3 linked regions of the Callithrix jacchus genome follow. The protein of the gene in region 2 interacts with the protein of the main gene of each other region in a pairwise test. Links are inferred from orthologs where the notes say so. Each region holds a gene or a part of one and is shown on either strand. Other genes may lie near its edges.

What was found. The genes of interacting proteins can lie anywhere in the genome.
Region 1: the proteins of CCDC172 (region 2) and DCTN2 interact in binary tests that used the Homo sapiens proteins (3 or more experiments, as listed by UniProt). The two-hybrid records come from large-scale screens. The link is inferred for Callithrix jacchus from reciprocal best matches to the Homo sapiens genes CCDC172 and DCTN2.
Region 3: the proteins of CCDC172 (region 2) and HDDC3 interact in binary tests that used the Homo sapiens proteins (3 or more experiments, as listed by UniProt). The two-hybrid records come from large-scale screens. The link is inferred for Callithrix jacchus from reciprocal best matches to the Homo sapiens genes CCDC172 and HDDC3.

What each region holds. Positions count from the first base shown.
Region 1 is NC_133510.1:62,151,684-62,155,435, reverse strand, and holds the start of DCTN2 (dynactin subunit 2), read right to left. Parts: upstream 2,687-3,752; 5' UTR 2,572-2,686; coding exon of another isoform or gene 2,536-2,571; intron 1,610-2,535; coding exon of another isoform or gene 1,603-1,609; coding exon 1,541-1,602; intron 1-1,540. UniProt on the Homo sapiens protein: Part of the dynactin complex that activates the molecular motor dynein for ultra-processive transport along microtubules. In the dynactin soulder domain, binds the ACTR1A filament and acts as a molecular ruler to determine the length.
Region 2 is NC_133513.1:109,276,278-109,280,029, reverse strand, and holds the start of CCDC172 (coiled-coil domain-containing protein 172), read right to left. Parts: upstream 2,871-3,752; 5' UTR 2,786-2,870; intron 2,338-2,785; 5' UTR 2,273-2,337; coding exon 2,194-2,272; intron 1,983-2,193; coding exon 1,897-1,982; intron 1-1,896.
Region 3 is NC_133507.1:19,505,392-19,508,718, reverse strand, and holds HDDC3 (guanosine-3',5'-bis(diphosphate) 3'-pyrophosphohydrolase MESH1), read right to left. Parts: upstream 2,282-3,327; 5' UTR 2,258-2,281; coding exon 2,146-2,257; intron 1,833-2,145; coding exon 1,777-1,832; intron 1,667-1,776; coding exon 1,426-1,666; intron 1,129-1,425; coding exon 998-1,128; 3' UTR 650-997; downstream 1-649. UniProt on the Homo sapiens protein: ppGpp hydrolyzing enzyme involved in starvation response.

The DNA.
Region 1 (3,752 bases), on a different chromosome or scaffold from region 2:
GCTTGCCAGCACACCTGGCAAATTTTCATATTCTTTTAGTAGAGATGGGGTCTCACCATGTTGGCCAGTCTGGTCTCGAACTCCTGACCTGAAATGATCCACTTGCCTTGGCCTCCCAAAGTGCTGGGATTACAGGCATGAGCCACAACGCCCAGCCTATCTTTCATTTTTTAAAAAATGTTTTCCATTAATGGTTGGTTGAATCCATGGGTTTGGAACCCTCAAATACAGAGAGCCAACTGTATACTCTCCTATTCTGTGAGGACAGAGACAGCTTCCTGTAAGACACCTCTTTGAGGGACAGGTGCACACCCAGGTCCTTGAGCAACATCAGCTCTATTATCTACAAGATACTCAAGCTTGGGGGATAGATTGGCATGCCAACAAATATGGAAGCCACAAGGATCACACCACTGGGAGAAGGAACAGGGAAGGTGTTTCCCACAATGTAAGAACCACTTCCACATAGGGGAGTCAAATAAGAAATAAGTGAGTACGCCAAGCCATACATTGTAAGCCAGCAGTCAGCATTCCCCAGAACTAACCAGCCCCACAGACATAGCCACAGGACTTACAGACAAGCATACTGAGCCTGCATATTGCAATGACTCTTGGACACACCTTTACTGAGAACTCACATCATCAATGTGATCATAGCCCAGCTCTCTTCAGAAATAATAGAACCAAAAACACATGCTATAAGACATGCTAGTAGATCTCTGTCCCCCTTGACACTTAGAGTTTTTACTATGTTGATTTCCATTCACTCAGTTTTGGTTTGTTTCCTTCCATATGTTTCCTATATGTATCCTAACTCTCCATTAGTCTGGGGCTCACTGGGGGGCATCGACATTTCTTTCTCTGCGTTGCACAAAAACAAACAAACACAGAGTGAACACATCAATAAAGCATACTAAGTGTTCCCCTCATAGCTGAAATACGTCCACACCTAATTACTCCATCCACAGAGTTTTTGGATCTAAAAATGCAACCAGTCTCACCTTCCTTGACGTGAAATATTTACATTCTTCCTCAAATTTGTTTTGCTATAAAGTCTTGAAATCACTTTCTTAATTCCTTGCCAAATGGCTACTGGATATTCATATTTAAAAAGTATTTTTCCATATTATATTTCAGAGTCTAGTTCTTGGTAGCAACTAGTAAGGCCTACTTCCTAACCTCAGGCAGTTTATTAAAAGTGCTCAGGCTTCATGATTCATTTCCATGGATTAGAACTCAGAGCCTAAGTCACTAGCCCCCAAACCTGTTTTGAGATATTTCAATGTTATTTAAAAGGCCCAAGGATGAGGGCTTTGCAAACAAATGTTGTTCGCTTTAATTCCACTTGACTCTCCCTCCTGCCTGCCGTTACTGGTGGTTGCAAGCCCAGCATGGCCTCTGCAAGCCCTGCAACTATATACCACTCAGGCTGGGGTTGGCATACCCGCTTATTGCTGTAGCTCCCCAGAGAAAGGGAAGGACCTGTCTAGGGGAGAAAGGTCAGAGTCCAGAGGAGTCCTGTGGCAGCACATATTCTTACCGCATCGAACTCCGCTTGATCATCCTCAGGTAGGTCGCTGGTTTCATAAACATCTGGCTCATTCCTGGCCTGCAGGTAGAAGCAGTGACCACCCAATCTCACTACCCAGCATCCAACAACACCCCTTACCCCACTCCCTTTGAATAAGCTAACGGAGAAGACAGAGTGTGATGCCAGGGTTCTGTCCTTTCTCCTCCACCAGCCCTGTGAGTCAACAGTATGTCAGGTCCCCTGCCTCAAGGGGTAGGGATAACAGAGGAAACAGTTGGGACCTGACAGTAAACAGTGACTGTAACTGATAACAACGATGTTACCCTAAATCTAGAGGCGGGCAGGTCCTTGGCAATCAGTATTGCCAAAGAAGGTGAGGGCTATCCTCCAATTAGGCCCAGTACACCACTTCCTGGCACAAGGATTGAGAGTGAGTGACTCAGAACCTTAGTACCCAAGGTCCTGTGTCCCAACCCCCACCTTGAGAAGCAAGCAGGGCAGCACAAAAGGAAGGTACCCGCCAGGATTGTCATGGAGGCGGGGGCGAGGGCACAGGTTCCCCCAAGGATAGAGCTCCCTATCTGGCACAAGAGGGTTCTACCACAGTAACCTCTTCCTTGGCAGGATGAAGGCCATCACTAAGTGGCCTGGTGTGTGTGTATGGGGTAGGGATGTAGGGGTCTTATGGAGAGGTTTTGGGGGGCACGGGCGGCGTTGACATGGATGGTGGAAACACTCGGACACAAGCGGTCAGTGCCCGGAGAAGATATCTGGGTCGAGCTACCGGCGCCTGCCGGAAAGGTGGCCTGGTGCGCCGTGCGGCGGCCCGGCCCAGTTGGGTCAGAAGAGTTCGGAGGGTGCTGCGGCCGGTCGGAGAGAGAGCGGCGGGAGACCTTGGGCGGAGGATGGGCTGCAGGTGGAAGGGGTCGCGGACTGGATTCTGTTGGGGGTCCTTGGGAAGTCGGGGGCGCGGTCCTGGGGAGCCGGTGCCGGCCTGTACTCACAATGCCGGGAAGGTCGGCGTATTTAGGGTCCGCCATGGCGGCGGCGAGACAGGGCTGGGGGACCCGGGCCTCAGTAGAGCCGGGGACGGTGTTCGGGTAGGGGAGAGGCTGGGTTCAGGTCCCCGGCTAAGGCGGCGGCAAAGGGAGCGGCAGATGAGCAGGAAGTCTCGCGACAGGAGTAGCACAGCAGAAGGGTAGAGCAAAAGTCGCGAGAACAGCCACGCTGCCTCACCCCTGGAGAGACCAGGATTGGGGAGAACGAGGCCAGGGAATGAGGTAATGGCCAGGGGACGCCGCCTAGGATTGTGGGATGTGTAGTTTTGGTGTACCTGGGCTTGGGCGGTGAGCCACAACGAACCTTGGGGAGCTATTTCATCCAGCGTTCTCTCTCTCACTTTTACAGCAAGTCAGTGAAAGGACATTTATAATTCCTGTTTTGGGCTCCCAGGAATTAAATGACTAGATTAAATCATACAGCTAGTCATATTGTGACACAGCCAGGGTTTCAAAAACAACAAGAACTTTGCTGGATACTGCTTCTTATAAAAATAAAACAAAAATAACAATAAGTAAAATTTAGTAAATGCTTAGTGTATGTTAGGAATGAAAAAGTTAGGCAATCTTCTCAAGTAAGGGCTTTCAGATCATTTGAATTTCAGATAAGAAGTAGGTGTGTGTAGTATGGTGTGTGTGTGTATACTAACACAAAAAAAAATTATGTTCAAAAAATTTTTTTCTTATTTATTTATTTAGAGATAGAGTTTCACCATGTTAGCTAGGCTGGTCTTGAACTCCTGACCTCAGGTGATCAGCCCGCCTCAGCCTCCCAAAGTGCTGGGATTACAGGCATGAGCCACTGGGCCTGGCCCTGAATTCAAATTAAGCTGAGCATCCTGTTTTTGTTTTTTGTTTTTCAAATCTGGCAATCCTATCTGAAGTTCATAAATAGGTAAGCGGTGTCTCCATGTCTGTCTGAACACTTCGTGCTCTTAACCATTTCGTTTATAGTTCTCAGACTTTAATTTATTTTTAAATTTTTAAAAATTTTAAAATTTTGTGGATACACAGTAGACATATGTATTTATGGGACACATGAGATATTTTGATACAGGTATGCAACGTGAAATGACCATATCATGGAGAAGAGGGTATCCATCCTCTCAAGCATTTATCTTTTAAGTTACAAATAATCTAATTATACGCTTAAGTTATCTAAA
Region 2 (3,752 bases):
TCCCTGTACCATAGCTCAAGTACTGCTGAATTCAAATTAAGTTCTACTAACAATTTCTCCTTCTGCTGCTGCCATTTGATAAATGGGTCAATAAATGCCAAGTAAATATATTTTCATTGTTATTGGCAGACATATAATTAACTCAGAATAAAAGAAACAAGAAATCAATTTAGGCTTACATCTTCAGTTCTTCCATTAGTCATTTGCATTATAATTGTGGTTCTACTTTTAATTCTTTATGCACATATAAATACCATCTTGACTATAATTATAAATCGAACTATTCAATTATAAATTAGTATTGTATGAACTGTGAGCCTCATCTGTTAATTTTGTTAGATACAAATGTATTATTACCCACATATATGAGCTGGTTAAAAAGCAATGCATGCTTATGATATTAATTAGAAATTTCAACAAATGTTTCTAAACAATGGTAGGCATTTTCTCCGAATGATAGCTACAAATTATATTTTCAAAGACTCTCCCTATTATCTATCAAACTATTAGTACTAATTAATTCTTTCAACACACTACTGTATATGATATACTAAGTGTTAGATAACAAGCAGTGGGAATAAAAGATGGATAAGGAAAAAATTCCACATATGTTGCTCACAAAATAGTGGGGGATGCAAACACAAATACAGGTATGTATCATTTTACCAAGATGTCTATGGGAAGGCTTTATTGGTCATGTTTGAGCAACACCTGGAAAGAAGAGCTGATGGAGAAATGTTCGCTGGATGGAGTAATGTTCTCTGATTATTTCATTCTCAAAGAAATCTGAAAATTCCCCACAGTGGTAAGCTAAAATAGATATATTTGAAGCAAAAAAACTTCCTCAAACAGACTTCACATTACACATTGCTTGTTTAGTTCATCATTGGTTATTTAATAAATAATTTTGAATAACTCTGTCCCCACCCATAGCAAGGTCTTCATTGTGGCACACTTAAATAATGTTCTTTGCTTCCTAATAATCTATTCCCATCTTGACAATCAGAGGTCAGAAAGATCTTCCTAAAGCTACCTTTTTTTTTTAAATACGAGGTCTCCCTATGTTGCCCAGGATGGCCTTAAACTCCTGGGTTCAAACTGTCTTCTCACTTTAGCCTCCTAAGTAACTGGAACTAAAAGCACATGCCACCATACTGGGCTACCTAAAACCACTTTTACTGTTCCCCGATCAGAAATTTGCAGTGGTTTTCTGCTATTCCCAGATATCAGCCCTCTGGTTTGACTAGATTCCTTTAACATACGCACTGGATCATATTTGCCTCCTCTCTGTCTGGAATGCTTTTCTCCTGCTACTTCCTTCTGTTTGCCTCTTCAAAAATTCTATCCACCCTTCAAAATCCTCCTTCAAAAGCCATCAGACTCTCTTGCTTCTATTTAAAATAACAGAACTTTACAAACACTGCAGGAAAGAGAGGAATGCTAGTGGAAAACATAGTTTGGATGCCAGGCATGTCTAAAATGTGGCAGAGAATTTTAAAACAAAAGGCAGGGGCTTGTTTTGAAAGTTACATACAATTGTTATATCAACGTAGCACACAAATTATCATTCAAAATGTATATACTGCACCTACTTTTTAAGTAACATAATGATTCTTCTAATGACATTGTGCTCTTTTAAAACCTTAACCATCCCACAAAATAAACAACGAATTCTTCATTACCTTAGATTCTTTAGGGCAAATTCATATTGGAACTGAAGGGGTCACTGGATTCAGAACTTTCAACATTACCAGGCAACATGGAACTAAAACAGCCAGCACAAAAGTAGTGTGCTTCCTACCTGAAGGACAGCTGGTTAAACAGTGAAATATCCCCAAAAGTCAAGTGAAGGCAGGCTTTCTCAAGTAATAATTAGTATGCTCTACATTTCAATACCTTAGATTCCAGCTCGATTTTCTCTTCATTCAGCTTCTCCGTTGCTTTCTCAATTTTTTCACGACATCTGGTTATTTCCAACCTCACTATAACAAAAATTAAATTTTTAAACACATAGATCTTTCTAAAGTCCGATGTTGGCGGCGTTTGAGAAGCCACCTTTCAGCTGTCTTTCCCTCAGCATGACAAGCAAGCTCCCCTAAGGGCTCTGACCACTGCCTACGGGATTTCCTTCTGCTCCAAGCACCCAGCACCAGAAGACGAAAGGCCCCATGCAAAGGACAGAAATCCCCCGACCTTCTCGCATCAAACGGCGACTCTCCTCCGCTTGATGCTCGGTGAAGATGATGTGCTGAAACAGGGACTCCAAGCTCATCTCAGGGCCTGGCTCCTGCGATCCTTTTCTCTCCCTTCAAGATTTTATGACCAACCCTGAGGATCCTGGAAAGCACAATAAAGAAGATGGAGTCTTCTAGAACTATTCCCAGATAGGCCTTTGTCCAACTCTCGGTCGCCGGCCCAGCAAGAAGATGGAGCCGACGCCGGACGGAGTCTGCGGGGTCTGAGGGTCCAGGGACGCCGGCCGCTGCCGCCCCTTCCTGCCCTCAGCCTTGGTTTCCCGTTACAGTTTACAAACCGGGCTTTTCTCCCTCACGCCCTAAGAGGGCAGGTTCAAGGTCTGCCTTTTTCCCTGGTGGAACCCCTGACGCAGGCCCCCGTCCCCCTACGGGTTTGTCTTCGCTTTGGTGGCAATAAAAATAGCAGACCTTGGCTTTTGAGGGCGTGTGGGCAACAGCCCTTTCTGTAGTCAGCCCTTTAATCCCAGTCCTCTCTCATTTTAGGGATAATGTCCTCAAAGTGCTCTGTCTTTAAGCAAAATGATACTTGCCAACAAAACCCGGGGCCAAAACCTTCCGTATGCCAAGGGCCAGCGCCTCAGGTCCAGCTTTGCCTGTGAGAACCTAAACTACGGCGGCTCGTTTGGCCCATCCTGCGGTCAGCGGGTTTGCCCTGGGCACGTGAGCCCCGAAGGTCTTAGGCCCAGTTGCAGTTGAGATGCTCGGTATCCAAGGCATAAATACCCAATATTATAAAGCACAGAGTAACTATGATTCTAAATATAAACTTGCACAAAGTCTTTTCCTTTGACGATGGCAAAGACTGCTATAAATGTGCAATGTCTGACATTCCGCCTTAATCATTCCTTTGTAATCAGGGCATATCTTTTTTGTCTGCTTTAAAATTAATCATTGCCTTTTGTAATCAAGCTGCAGTAATATTAACACTTCAATATCTGCGCAATATGTGTCAGAGCACAAAGTGGTTGCTAATTAAAGCTTAAACATGAAAGGCACCTTTGGGACTTTTGCGTGGGATTTTTTTAAATCAAAAATTAAAATATTTTTAGTTTTAGTAGGTTGAAATACTGACATTATAATAAACATTTGACTTTATTTTTGAATGTAAAATTGACGTTGGTTGAACTTTAAAAAGTAATTTGTTAGAATTTATTTAAAATTAAGTAAAATAAACGTTTGACTTTATTTCTGAATGTAAAATTGATGTTGGTTGCACTTTAAAAAGTAATTTGCTAGAATGTGTTTAAAATTAAGTAAAATAAGGTAAATGTTAATTCTGCCACCTCACAATAGGCTTAATTAATGTTTCATTAATGATGTAGTCTAATCAGTTATGCATTTTAACTTATTCCAAATTTCCACCTTAATTTCCATCAAGCCACATATGCATAAAACTTAATTCTTTGGCTTTATTTTAAAAGAATAAATACTGAAAGGTATACAAAGCAGAAAAGAACTGCCCATAAGCATATTATTTAGAAGTACATATTAACAGTT
Region 3 (3,327 bases), on a different chromosome or scaffold from region 2:
GTTGTGCATGACACATGTTGCACACAGCCCACCTCCTTGTCTCGGTGACCTAATAGGGGTGGACCCCCTTTCTGTACACGACCCTCTACTACTGCACACAGCACGGCCCCCTACTGCACATGGCCCACCTCTCTGCCCAGGTAACATAACGGGGTGGCCCCCTCACTTGTGTCTCACGTGATTATGTATGCCCTATCACTAAGCCTATAGATGATAACCTCACTTACTACCCTTCCCCCTGCCTGTACCTAATGAATAGATGCTTCTGCATGTTCGGGGCCTTGCCTGTCTCCCCTCAGGTGGCGTGGCCCCCCCAAGTCCAGATGCCCTTCACCAGTTCTTCAGTGTCCTGTCTATTTCTTGGATCCTGCACTTCAGCACAGCATAAGGGACACCCCACAACCCTGTGGGGCCAACAGCCCTACAAGCACCTATGTGTCAGGCTCCATCAGGCACCTCACAGTCTAACCTGATAATTACACAACCCATCTCACTGATAAGGAAGCTAGGCTCGGAGGGGCTAAACCCCCAACCTGAGGGAGGTGATGCAGGGACACACAATTAGAACCCTGCTTTGCTGAAGGACAGGTATGCAGCCTACCAGTCCCCAACCCAGGAGGCTGGAGAAGGAACAGCAGCAATTTACACCTTTACCCATAGTTCTTTTTATTGACCATAATGACTTAGGAACTAGTACTTACATAATCTCAAGTCCCTGAGGGAACAGAGATCCCACCATGCAAAATAGCAAACAGACCCAAGACTTGGGGAGAGGCAGCGAGTGCATCAGAAATGGATGGGTACATCTTATTCCCACACTCAGGGGGCTCAGCTTAGTTAGCAGGAGACCTTCAGATTGAGAAAAAATGCAAGTCTTTTTTTGGCCTCTGGTATCTGGGAAGGATGGAGGGAGCACAGGAGGCACAGAAAAGGTGCGTGAATCCTGTCCGGCCTGGACGAGGCTGGAGTTGTGCTGCTGAAGAGCTCCAAGCACTGCTCAGAGTGTCAGTCCCCGCTGCTGGAACAGACGTTTTAGAGCCTCTTCCAGTTGCTGGTTTGTTCCCTGAAGCCCCTTCACCACCTGCGCTGCCCACTCAAAGTATTCCTGGACTCGCTGTTCTGACCATCCTGCATAAGAATCGGCAGAAACCTGCTAGCCTGATGTCAAAGACAGCACTGCCTTTTGCCTGCTTCCTGGCAAGCTTGGTTCAAGGCCATGAGTTCCTGATGGGATGAGCTGTCCCAAAAACTTGCCTGTGGCTCAGCTATTGTATTTTGACCATAGGAAGGCAGATCAAGAGTGGTATAGTAGAATTAATTTGGGAATTAAGAATGCCCAGAGTTTTTCAGGGGAACTGACCAACCTGTGCCTTCAGAAGGTGGCATCCCCCTCCCCTTTCCCTTAGAACCCATAGGAAAGCGTACCCTCTGGGGTGCAGCGATTCAGGTCCCTCAGATTGTGCAGCTTGTCTGCCAGCTTCACCAGTTTGGCCCCGGGGCTGCTGTGGGGCGCCTGCTCCACCTGCAGCCGCTTTCTCTCCAGCTTGGGCAGAGTCTTGTCATCTGTTACCTCCTCCACCAGGCACCGCACCTGTGCCCCAAAGTGTAGCTCCACCTCATCCAGAGTGGTGTCTGTGTCCTCCACCGTGTCATGGAGCAGGGCTGCCTGGGGACAAGTTCCCATTCAGCCCTGAGATGCTAGCCAAGGGATGCCCATTGCTGAATGGGGCCCCCGATCCCTATCCCAGACTCCTGGCAGAGAAGTGGGGAAGTTACCTGTAACACTGCAATGTCAGTGATTCCCGCCTCGTGGGTCAGGATCCGAGCCACACCTGACGGGGAGGGGCAAAGCAGGAAGTCAGCTCCGGGGGAGCTCCAGGGCTGTGTGTTGTGGGTTTCGGAGAGCCAGATGTGGCCCCTTGTGGCCTCTCACTAGCTGGGTGACCTTGGTTAAGTTCTTTACCCTCTCGGTGTAGACCGGCAAAGGGAACGATCACGACTACCGCTCCAATTGTTGTGAGGCTTAAATATCGCACTATGCTTGGGACAAAATAGATGCTCAACGAGGTGGACGCCCCCCACGTCTCCTTCCCAGTCCCCGCCCCCCAGGCGCCGCAGCCGGTGCCCCGCGGCCGAGGTGCCCACCGATGGGGTGGTTGATGTAGGGGGTCCCCTCCGGGTCCTTCCGCCGCTGCTGACGATGCTTGTAAGCTGCGAAGTCGGCAGCCTCCAGCAGCTGCGCCGCCTCGGAGCTCATCGCGCGGATGCGGCGGGAGACTGCAGCCGCGGGGAACCTCCACGGAGTATTTACAGCGCCCTCTGGCGCCAGGGAGGCCCGGGGGGGATCATGGAGGCGAATTCAGCGGCCTGAGTTGGACCTGGCCCAGGTGGATTCCTTCGGAGCTGACATGCCCCGTGCAGAGAGCAAGCGATGTGCGAAGCTGCCTTCAGCATCGCGGCCCCTAGCTCAGTGTGCTCTGTTGGGGGTGCAAGAAGAACATAAGCCTGGCTCTCTGGGAGCCTACAGTCTGTGGAAAAGAGTAAGACAGACAAGAAATAAGGCAGTGGCCTCACCGTGCACTGAATCCAGGGTGGGAAGGCTCAGGTGACTACGGGAATGGGAAGAAAGGTCAATCCAGCTAGCCTCAGAGCCAGAGGCAGCTTCTCCCAGAAGCCCCCTCCATGAACAGACAATCTTCAACCTGTCAAAGCTCTGAAAACGCTTTAAGTGTTCTAAAAATAGTTCTCCCTGCAGTGACGGGCCAGGTTCTCTCGGCAGGGGAGCCTCACCTTTGGACCTAGGAGATCCTAGGGCCTGACCTGAAAAATCAGAGCCTTCTCTGGGATCCCTGCCTAATTCCTTCAGACTTGGGCTCCCAGGTAGCCATGACATTTCTGCAGAAACTGCCTTTGTCCTCAGTGTTGCTTATGAAATTTGCATTGCCTTCTTGTGCCATGAGTGCTCCTATTTCAGTCTCGAGGCACCTTCTGTAGGCCCCTGTGGTTATGAGTGTTATCAGTGCTGTTCTGGGAGCACGATGTTGTCAGGCCTGGGTAGACACTGGAATGACACTTAATTCTGCTGGCTGGTAGCCTTGGGCCTTCTGGAAAAATTCCCTGCCTCAGCAGCTATGAGGTATGAGGGGTAAGAGAGGCCTGATGATTCTCATAGAACTGCTCTGTGAGAAGGGGTTTGCTATTAGTTAAGTATACGCTAATCAGACAGGAAGCTTTTGTGTTCTGGCTGGTAGCCGGGGCAGATGCAGCTCAGGGGAAAAGCTAATGAAAGGACTCACCCTCGGTTTTCAGCTAGTCTTGGTGGTTGCC